2 linked regions of the Drosophila melanogaster genome follow. Each later gene encodes a partner of the first gene's protein in a complex. Each region holds a gene or a part of one and is shown in the gene's direction. Other genes may lie near its edges.

What was found.
Region 2: Iml1 (region 1) and Wdr24 share a complex: the UniProt entries of both Drosophila melanogaster proteins name them as parts of the GATOR complex.

Annotation. Positions count from the first base shown.
Region 1 is NT_037436.4:1,530,935-1,536,056, reverse strand, and holds the start of Iml1 (increased minichromosome loss 1), read left to right. Parts: upstream 1-2,022; 5' UTR 2,023-2,148; coding exon 2,149-2,200; intron 2,201-2,255; coding exon 2,256-2,563; intron 2,564-2,623; coding exon 2,624-3,112; intron 3,113-3,169; coding exon 3,170-3,774; intron 3,775-3,834; coding exon 3,835-4,006; intron 4,007-4,068; coding exon 4,069-4,477; intron 4,478-4,534; coding exon 4,535-4,666; intron 4,667-4,797; coding exon of another isoform or gene 4,798-5,122. Other genes in the region: CG12091 (uncharacterized protein), read left to right, coding at 1-461; Ir62a (ionotropic receptor 62a), read left to right, coding at 4,798-5,122. UniProt on the Drosophila melanogaster protein: An essential component of the GATOR subcomplex GATOR1 which functions as an inhibitor of the amino acid-sensing branch of the TORC1 signaling pathway.
Region 2 is NT_033777.3:29,741,076-29,746,744, reverse strand, and holds Wdr24 (WD repeat domain 24), read left to right. Parts: upstream 1-1,652; 5' UTR 1,653-1,745; coding exon 1,746-1,863; intron 1,864-1,921; coding exon 1,922-2,561; intron 2,562-2,623; coding exon 2,624-2,956; intron 2,957-3,009; coding exon 3,010-3,094; intron 3,095-3,154; coding exon 3,155-3,310; intron 3,311-3,367; coding exon 3,368-3,826; intron 3,827-3,892; coding exon 3,893-4,078; intron 4,079-4,141; coding exon 4,142-4,498; 3' UTR 4,499-4,773; downstream 4,774-5,669. Other genes in the region: IntS11 (integrator 11), read right to left, coding at 8-982, 1,062-1,275; Gnpnat (Glucosamine-phosphate N-acetyltransferase), read right to left, coding at 5,006-5,047, 5,376-5,595, 5,655-5,669. UniProt on the Drosophila melanogaster protein: An essential component of the GATOR subcomplex GATOR2 which functions as an activator of the amino acid-sensing branch of the mTORC1 signaling pathway.

The DNA of each region.
Region 1 (5,122 bases):
CCGTGCACACGGCCAACATCGGCGACAGCGGCTTCGTTGTGGTGCGCGAAGGCCAGGTGGTTCACAAGTCCGAGGAGCAGCAGCACTATTTTAACACACCCTTCCAACTGTCATTGCCGCCGCCGGGACATGGGCCCAATGTCCTCAGCGACAGCCCTGAGTCGGCGGACACGATGAGCTTTCCGGTGCGGGATGGCGACGTGATTCTCATTGCAACCGACGGAGTGTTCGACAACGTGCCCGAGGATCTAATGCTGCAGGTGCTTAGCGAGGTGGAGGGCGAACGCGATCCCGTCAAGCTCCAGATGACGGCCAACAGCCTGGCGCTGATGGCGCGCACCCTGTCCCTCAACAGCGAGTTCCTCTCGCCCTTCGCCCTCAGCGCCAGGAGGAATAACATTCAGGCGCGTGGCGGCAAGCCGGACGACATCACCGTTGTCCTGGCCACCGTGGCGATGTGAGAGTGGTGCTCCAGCCCATCCTCCCTAGTGATTAACGTTTACTTGTAGTCCGTACGTGTTTAGTTAGCTTTAGGAGCCAGTTTCGTGGTTCTGTCTACCGTTTAAGCTGCATGTTGAGATTGAGATTGTGATTGACGAGGACGACGACCCTTTGACCCTTTGCATTGTTAGTTACATATATACGAGCAAACTCATTTTCGAACCGACGAATCGACTTCGACGCATCCTGGTGAGCGACCCGCGCCTCGATTGTATACATAACCCTCGCTATAAGTAGAGAATGCGAATTATCTGCCCGATCTGGCGATCTCTGTCGTCAGTGGCGTTCTAATCACCACAAACAATAAACAAACAACCGATTGCGAAACAATCCCCGACGCCGAGGATCATAAATACGAGTCCGGGGTCCGGATGATGGAAGCTGGATGGATGGTGGACCCGGAATGGAGCGAGTCGAGTGCAGCTATCTGACTGAGGACGGAGGATTACCCATTTACGCGGGCGAACGAACTGTCTTTAAACAATTTTTGTCGAAATGTACTCACTGATATTTGCGACCCAATAAAATTTATTCAATGAAAAACAACGAATGCAGCTTGTAGTCACTTCGTGATAAATTCATTAAGCAAATAAATATGTGTAAACAATAAAGCTGTACGGAAAACTTAAATAGAACGTTCTAATTGCTTAGATTAACTCATGGTCAGAAAGATGGAAATTGATAGATTCAGGAGCGGACAAACTGATTAGCGTGGGGGTGTTTATTTTTAATGCGATGTAACAATCATTTTCCTCCAGAAGTATAGGTGAAATTACATTTTTAATTAAAAAGGTCTTATCTGAAAGAAATCGATTGCGCTTCTGTGACGCAGACTGACTACATATATAAGCATAAAGCTGCAAAAAATATATGCATTCTACAGATTATTATTATATTCGAATAGGAAAAATACCCAGAACTATTTTTAAAAATTTTATTCGAAAATATTGCGTTATTTCGGTGCAACCTTAATTATTTGTATCTAGAATAAAACGCGCTATGGTGGTGCTATTTTTTACGCAACTGTATATGTGTTAAATCGATAATATAAAAAAACATTTATTTTAATTAGTAAAGTTTTTCGCCAGTTTGTAAAATATGTTAACTTTTGGCTACACTTGTGGGTAAATTAAAAGGCTTCATAGATGCCAAAAAAATTTCAGTCAATAGCAACGCACCAAATCCCCGCTGAATTGGTAGGAGTCTAGTGACGAAAGCATCGGTTGCCCCTAACGTTCGGTAATTCAAATTTTGTGACGAATAATACAAATCACACAATAACATACATAACAGAAAAGCTTACGTAACTGAAATCATTATTTAATTTAATATATATGAAAATAATTAAGCTGACAGGGAATGCAGATTAAGTTAGTTTTTCAATAAAAGATAAAAGTGTTGAGCTACCTTGAAAAATATAAATAAACTGCGTGATTTAATTAATTACAATAACAATTAAAGGTAAACATTAAATTCGGTATATTTGTACAGGAAAATACCAAATAATCCATGCCTGCGGTCACTCTGCAGATAAGGAATCAAAACAAAAGACGAAAAAATAGAATTTTTATTTTACTAGCATGCAAATGGGCAAATGTTGGAATTGAGTAAATAATTGTCCGTTGGTTTTGCAACCACTAAGTCAACATGAAGCTGTACAAGCTGAACACGCATACGCGTGGCTGCAACAAATCCTACGGTAAGCGAAAGTGGATATTGCGCAAACATTACGTTACACGGAAATTTCGGCACAGATGCGGACTTGGTGATGAATCTAAAGGATCATCCCAACGCCAATGTGGGCGATGTGGTAGAAATTTACGCCCCCGACGAGGAGAACGGCACCCACCTGCTGCTCCAAATCACCGAGTTCAATGGCAGCTGTGGCCGGGATGTGATAAGCATAGAATCGGGCATCGCCAATGCCTTCAAAATGCGTCCGTACTCCAATGTGGTGATGCGCATAGTTAAGCCGGCGGATGTGGCCCTGGACTCGATAGAGATTACCTTCAAGGACCAGTACATGGGTCGCTCGGAAATGTGGCGCCTGAAGACCTACCTGGTAAGGAATCACGCAGTTTTCAGACCAGGATATACTTTTAACGTACCACTTCTCCCTCAGACGGACACCTGTGTGTATGTGAACAAGAAGATCGACTACAACGACATGCAGATTCGGTGCCAGGTGTACGAGATGTGGTCGCAAGGCGAGCGCGTGGCCAGCGGTGTCATCACGGAGGACACCAAGATTGTCTTCCGCAGCAGCACTTCGATGGTGTACCTCTTCCTGCAGATGTCCTCCGAGATGTGGGACTTTGACATCCACGGAGACCTGTACTTCGAAAAGGCAGTCAATGGGTTTCTCACTGAGCTCTTTCAAAAGTGGCGAAAATTGAGCTGTAACCACGAGGTGACCATCGTGCTGTTCTCCCGCACCTTCTACGCAGCCAAGAGCCTGGACGAGTTTCCCGAGCATATGCGCGACTGCCTGCAGCAGGACTACAAGGGTCGCTTCTACGAGGACTTTTACCGCGTGGCCATCCAGAATGAGCGCTGTGATGATTGGTGTACCGTTTTGGGCCAGCTCCGAAAGCTATTCACGTCCTACCAGGTCACTTAACCATGTTTTAATTTATTCTATTATAAAAACTTACTACGCCGTTTACAGGCCACTGTGCTGCGCTACCACGAACGGGAGAACATGAAGATTCCACCGGCCACCAATTCTTCAGCCACTCAGGGTAACTTTTTGGAGGTGCTAAACATATCGCTGAACACTTTCGAAAAGCATTACTTGGATAGAACGTTCGACCGCACCGGACAACTATCCGTGGTTATAACCCCAGGAGTGGGTGTCTTTTCCGTGGATCGAGAGCTAACCAATATCACGAAGCAGCGCATTATCGACAATGGCGTGGGTAGCGACCTGGTCTGTGTGGGCGAGCAGCCACTGCATGCGGTTCCGCTTCTCAAATTCCACAACAAAGACACCACGTTGACCTCCGCCGATGACTACTCTCTGCCCCACTGGATAAACTTGAGCTTTTACTCCACTAACAAGAAGATTGTGTACTCCAGTTTCATACCACGGATCAAGCTGCCTCTGTTTGGATCCCAGTTGACGCTCCACGATGGCGTTGGCGACGGGGAGGGCGAGGAGAACGAGCGTCACTTCCTGAGCTGCAATCAGTCGGAGTATAAGCACAACTCGCTCTTTGATTACGATGCGTATGATGAACAGATCTTCCAGCCGCTCCCCGCTCAGAGTACTTGGTAGTATTGTGCTACAAAATTACCTTTTTAGCTTTGTTGATCAAGGTTTTATTTTCTTAGCTCCCTGCAGCGTGTAGTGCGGGCTAAGAAGACATCGGTGCCCAGTTTAGAGACCTATGCCTATAGGAACAACGATTGGGAGAACCTCACGCCGACTCAAATCCCGGCTATGCGGCGCAAGATGTCCGATCCCGATATTCATCACGGCACCTCTGCAATGCTGGCTGCCTTGGTAAGGGAAATCTTAATACTGACTTTTTACCTGACTTTTGAACTGTTTTTATGTGACTTTAGCAACCGGATACAACCAACCTCTCCGAGTCACTGGCCTCGGAGAAGAACTCCCGCAGGACGATCGTTAGCATTGCGCCCATAGTGCGTCCGGGTCGCGCTCTGATCAATCCCTTTGATCCCTCGCAAGTGACAATAAAGCTGACCTCCAATCGCCGCCGCTGGACGCACATATTCCCGAAGGGCCCAACCGGTGTACTCATACAGCAGCATCATTATCAAGCGGTGCCCGCCAAACCCACGCAGGCTGGTCAGCAGAGACCATTGCAGCAGACGCAGAGCAACAACAACAACGACCAGGAGGATTACGGGTGCGAAAATGGAGAGCAGTACGACCGAGTGTCCAGCCATTCGCTGCTCAACAAGTCAGACTCCTCGCAGAGCTTTGTGATGGGTGATGAGCCCATTGATTGTGAGTAGCAGTAACTAAAGTTAAACCTCCTCGACTAGCATTGCTTTGTATACGCAGTCTTTAAGCGGCGTCAAAACTCGCCGATGAACCCCCAGCCCGCCAATGTGCCCAACCTGACGGCCACCCAGGCGAAGTCTTACCTCTGGGGAGCCACTGGGGAGCAAGAGTGGACACCAGCAATTACCACGGGTAAGTGTTAGGCAAACAGTTTTCAGGTTTTGTTTTAGAGATCGTATCGTGGGGCAAATAATTCGAGATGCACTTGAAGTACTCGGCGTACATGGAAATCCCAGTCAGTTTGGCATGGTTCACGAGCGAAAATGTATCTTCAGTTTTTGTTCGCGCTGTTTTTGTCGCGCTACCAAATCGTGGCCACCGAAAACTTTGACCGCGCTTTCGAGCTGGCTCTGTTTCTGGACAGGATCGGCCGCGTGCATCGCTTGCATGCCATCACTATAGTGAACAGCCTGGGATCTGTTGATCCCAGCTATCTGGACGATCTGCATCGCGGCCTGATGTGCAACAGCAGCAATCACTTCTACATGCTGCCGCAGATGACGGCCACGGACAAGGATTCCTCGCACGTCCACTTCAGCAGCCTGCAGGATGAGGAGACCATATATTTGGTCTTCGCCAGGGATTCCA
Region 2 (5,669 bases), on another chromosome or scaffold:
TAGCCACCTTTGGCATCTGCATGGGCCGAGAAGCTCATGTACTCCACGGCCATTTTGACCTCGACCACCTGGCGGTTCTCGAACTCCACCTTCTTGGCGCCACCGAGAATCTTGTTGCCCACGGTTCCCTGCACACAGTAGCCGGGCATAATCACCATGTTGTTCTCATTCGGCGCCCACTTCTTGAAGATCTGCAGGGAAAGACCTGCGTGCAGCATGCCTGGCGTGGCGAACACTACCATCGCGCCAGGATTGTCGATGTAGGCCTTGTCAAAGGGCTTGATGTGCTTGAAGTCGAACATGTTGCGGTGAACGAAGGTCTTGCGGATCTTCTGGTTCGTCCAGGTGATGAACATTTTGTAGTAGGTATTGGCCTTCTCGGTAAGACCCAGAGCAAAGTATATGGGGTACTTGAGGTTCATGCGCTCCCAGTACGTCTCCAGCAGGATGCACAGCTCCTGGGCGCGACCCAGGGCAAAAACAGGGATTAAAACCTTGCCGCCCTTAGCCACGCACTCGTGAACTTTCTTGAGGAAGTCCCTCTCGCGACACCGCTTCGAGTCCCTAATGGTAGTGGCGTAGGTGCTCTCGGAGATCAGCAAGTCCGGCCGGCACTTGTCTATCCAGGCGGCTCCCAGATGCCTGTCTGGAGTCATGTTGTAGTCCCCCGTGTAGACAACGCTCTGGGAGCCCACCTTGATCCAGAACATGGCGGCGCCCAGGACATGGCCTGCATAGTAGGCTTTGATCTCAAGGTCCGTGTCCACCATCATACTCTGGTGAAGTGTGACGGGAATCACCTTCTTCATGCAGTCCTTGATCATCTGGGTGGTAAAGAAGTTCGACTCGCCTTTCCGCTCTACGGCCACCTTCCGCATGTCCTCCAGGAGGATGGGTGCTATGGCCTTGGTCGGATGCGTCATGTAGATGGGCCCCGTGTAGCCCACAATCTCTGACATGTAGGGCAAGGCCCCGCAGTGATCTGGAATGCATGCAATCGATAAAGAAACGATTAGAGCCAGTTGACCAGATAAGAGCGCCTTTGGGAGGCCGAGACTCACCCAGGTGGAAGTGCGAGATGATCACACAGTCAATGTGGCTGGTGATCGGACCCTCCGGCACTATGTAGGAGAAGTCCGGGAAGCGGCGCTCGTCGTTGTAGCCCATATGCATCCCGCAGTCGAGCATTATGTTCTTCCCGCCCATCGAGAGCAGCAGACAGCTGCGGCCCACATCCTGGCCGGCGCCCAAGGGCGTTATCTTGATGTCCGGCATTTCTGGAAGGGATCAGGATCACCCGGCTCCACTCTCCTGCTTTCTTGCGGCCACTTGTTGCGCTGGTAAATGAAATTGTCGAAAAAGTCGACCGTGATTTTTGTAAACAGCAAGGCCGCACGAATGGCGTTGCCACTCCGTCGGTGTGGATGGTCCGGCAACGACGCGCTCCAACTGGCAGATCTTATTGGAGTGTTCCAAGAAGTTTCAAAGAATTTAATAGCTTAATTGAAATTAATGTTTCTGTCTGTATATGTATAGAATACATTAATTATATGTGAATAATACAACTTTAGTACAATAAGTCTTTTGTTCAAACAATATTCAACATCTGCATTTGGGAACACTCGCGCCAATGGTTTGCCGCTCGAGAAACGGTCATACTGAACCGAAAGGAAAATAAAAGATAGCGTCTTGTCTTATCAAATCACTGTTTTGCTTTCTGCGGGCGAACTTGCAACTGCTGCAGGATGCCCGATTCCGTGGAGGACACCTCCACAATCTCGCTGCGGATATGCCTGGAAGGACACGCGAACGCCCTGGCCCTGAATAAGGACAACAACCAGATTGCTTTGGCCGGAAGAAGCTGTAAGATTAGAATTGCCCAAGGTCTTTCTATAAATACACATAATTTGCTTCCGAACAGTGCTTAAGGTGTACTCCATAAACAGCAATGGCTTCACGGAATCGTGTAATATGCGCGGAAAGAACCAGAATCTTAGCTACTCCGCCAACGATGTGGCCTGGTCCACCTTGGATAGCAATCTTTTGGCTACGGCGGCCACGAACGGAGTGGTTTCCGTGTGGGATCTCTCCAAGTTCGGCAGGCAGAAGCAGCTGCTTGTCTACAACGAACATGAGCGCACCGCTCATACCGTGACCTTTCACAGCAGCGAGCCCAACATCCTGATCTCCGGTTCTCAGGATGGCACCATCAAGTGTTTCGACATCCGATCGGATAAGTCAATCAACACCTACTTCTGCAACTCGGAATCAGTGCGGGATGTCAAGTTCAGTCCACACACACAAAACATATTCTCCGCCGTCTCCGAGAATGGAACTGTCCAGTTGTGGGACATGCGGAAGTGGGACAAGTGCATGGTGCAGTTTACGGCGCACTACGGGCCAGTCTACACATGCGACTGGCATCCCACAAGGAATTGGCTGGCCACCGGAAGTCGGGACAAGCAGATCAAGGTGTGGAACATGGATGGCAGGCCGGGATTGGAGCACACCATTCACACAATCGCCGTAGTGGGACGGGTTAAGTGGCGACCAGAAAGAACGTAGGTTTTTCTAGCCAGGTTTAACAGTCTTATTTATATTAAATCTGTTTAATCCTTTCCAGTTATCACATCGCTAGTTGTGCCCTTGTGGTGGACTACAGCGTTCATGTGTGGGACATCCGCAGACCCTACATCCCCTTTGCCTCCTTCAACGAGCACACCAATGTGACTACTGGAATTGCGTGGCAGGGCAGCGACTCGCACTGTCTTCTGTCCATCAGCAAGGACTCCACCATTTACAAACATGCTTTTAAGGATGCCACGAGGCCAGCGCTGAAGGCAAATGCCCAGGGAGCTAGCCTGGGCAGATTTGGGGACATCTCCTTTGCCAACAAGATCAAGGAGTATGAACCCAAGACCAGCGGTGCATCCAATACCAAGTCTTCTAGCTTCATGTATGTCGTATTTGTTGTATCAACTTGTATGTTTATATGTATGTGTATTTTAGAAGTCGCCGTAAGACGAATGTGGCTGGCAGCATTCAGTTCCATTTGGACCATTCCAAAATGTACAAATTCATGGTAAACGACACGGTTAGTATGACACTATTAGGGATTTCTTTGCCAAATCTGATACTAATTGATATATTTCAGTTTTCCGGCTATCCCCTAAGCGAATCTGTTTCAAGACCCACCCAAGAACACGAAAGTTTTATTGGCTGTGCCAGGGAACTTGTTATCAGTGGGAAAAAACTATCGGAGTTATGCGAGCACAATGCAGAGGTTTCCAAGAAATACGGCAAACATAATGTAAGCGCTTGAGATTATTCCCAAAATTTGCCAAAACTTAGCATCTACATTTTTCAGGCCACCACATTGTGGAACTTTATCAAATTGTTCTACGGCAGCAATCACTTTGAGCCTCCCTTCGAGCACCGCTCCTCCTTCTCGAATCAAAAGAATCCAATGAACTCACGACGTGCCACGCAAGTAGCCAGCGATTGGCCACAGCAGCGAACTGAACTAGGCCAGGATCTCAATGGAAACACGCCGGAAACAGCCCACGAAATTGATGTGGCGAATGTGGACGATGATACGCTCGGCAGCAGTGGTGTGGAGCATCCGCCTACGAGCTCAGTGATTCTGTCCGAAACGCAAATCATCAGCGAGATTACCTTTGACAACTTTGAGCTCTTGCGCAATGGGTTTATCTACGTGGGTCCCACAGAATGCCCGAAAGCTTTGGCCTTCCCCGCCCTTCATCACGATGTGCAGGCTGCACGACCACAACTGGATCTCAAGGCGTCCGATCACGAAAAGTCACCTGTTAGTTGAGATTATTGAGAACTCGATGTATTTACAGCTTAACTAACTTATTCATCCTCTTTTTAGCCACCGCATGTTCCCACTGTCCTAAAAGTCAGCCATGTCCCGCCCATACCCATGTGGGAACCGCATAAGTTCGTCTCCGATGCCCTCATGCTAATGAACGATGTGGGCGATGTGCAAACAGCTCTGACAGTCCTTATAGCGCTGGGAGAAGCTCGGAAGCTCCTGCCCATTGACGATGCATTGGTGGTGAGTTCAAAGACAAAGTTGGGATCAGAACGGAGTTATTCATCCGGTTTTCTTCCTTTTCAGGAGCACTGGTTTTACACCTACGTGGACCAGCTGCATCGCTATGAGCTGTGGAACGAGGCCTGCGAGGTTATCAACCGCTCCTGGCTGAGATCGGTGCAGCAGCTCAACCAGCACTCGACCGCCATGCACACGAACTGTGGAGAGTGTGGACGTCCAATGGGCGGCAAGGTGGGATGGTACTGCGACAAGTGCAAGTCCATGCAGTCCGCCAAGTGCTGCGTCTGCGGTCTGATCGTCCGGGGAGTCTACGCCTGGTGCCAAGGATGCTCCCACGGCGGTCACATAGAGCACCTGCAGAAGTACTTTGCCAAACACTCCAAGTGCCCCAAGTGCGGACACCTTTGCGCGTACTCATGAGACGCGGAGGAGGCTGGGTTTGCCCAGCTTTTGCCCCCCATTTGAGAGCCTTGTAAATAGAGAAGACTTAAGCCCAATAAGTACCTTGCACTAGACACTAAACAGATTTTTATATAAATGTAGCTCGAAGATGTAAACTTGTAAAATAAGCTCAACGTTTGTGAAGTAAATTAACAGACAGGTTTAATCGATCTTCTGCAACTTTAAATAGCACAAATGTTTGTTACTTAACTTTTTTTGAAATATTGGAAAATAAAACTGTTGTCTGTTGATGCAAGTAAGTTTATAAACATTCTGGGCTTTTGAAAAAAGTGTCCACTTTATTGAATTTCTTCAATCATTAAAGGTTTTTGAAAGATTCGTATTGGGTTTTAATCGCTATTGTTGATTAGTGTTAATAACAGTTTAACAGTTATGCGAGTGTTTCAATCTTAGGGCTACTTGATGAAGGTGCTCTTAAAAGGTAATATTACAACCACCTTGGAGTTGAGAGGTCGAGCCGCACATTCAGTAGCAGAAAGGGGAGAAAAAATTATAAAATTGAGAGTTCTGTAGGGATTAAAAACAGAGAGCAACATATGTTGCGGTTGTCTTTAACTAAATATCTAATTGTATGTCCTCGCGGGTGGGTGGACAAGCACGTCCGTCCACAAGGACACCACCGCCAGCCAGCGCTGTCCAAAAATCCATCATGCCCTCAGCGCAATGGAATTTTGGCAATGCCTATATGCATTTAATGTTTTCTTAGAATCCAATTTTAGTTTTGTTGCATTGCGCTTCGCGCATTTGTAACTTTGAGATGGGGTGCTCCCACTCAAAGCTTGGACTTTGGAGCAGCGTTGGCGGCTAATTGTCAAGAGGCAAAATCGAGGCTCACAGTTTGGCAGGAGTCGCCCACTGTTCCACTGGAGCCGGCTGAGGTAGCATTCCGCTTGAGCGTTGGCCCCTCATCGTAGCGAATCGTCATGGAGTTGGAGTTTCCGGGAATGGCCACATAGCCCAGCGACTCATAGAACTTGATCAGCTTGTCCTTGCAGTCCAGCGACATTTTGTAGCAGCCCAGTTCCTCGGCCAGCAGCGATACGGTGACCACGATCCTGAATAGTAAGTCCGCGGATTAATGTTTCTTGTTGGGAAAATGATATACAACGCTTACAGTTTTCCCAGTTGC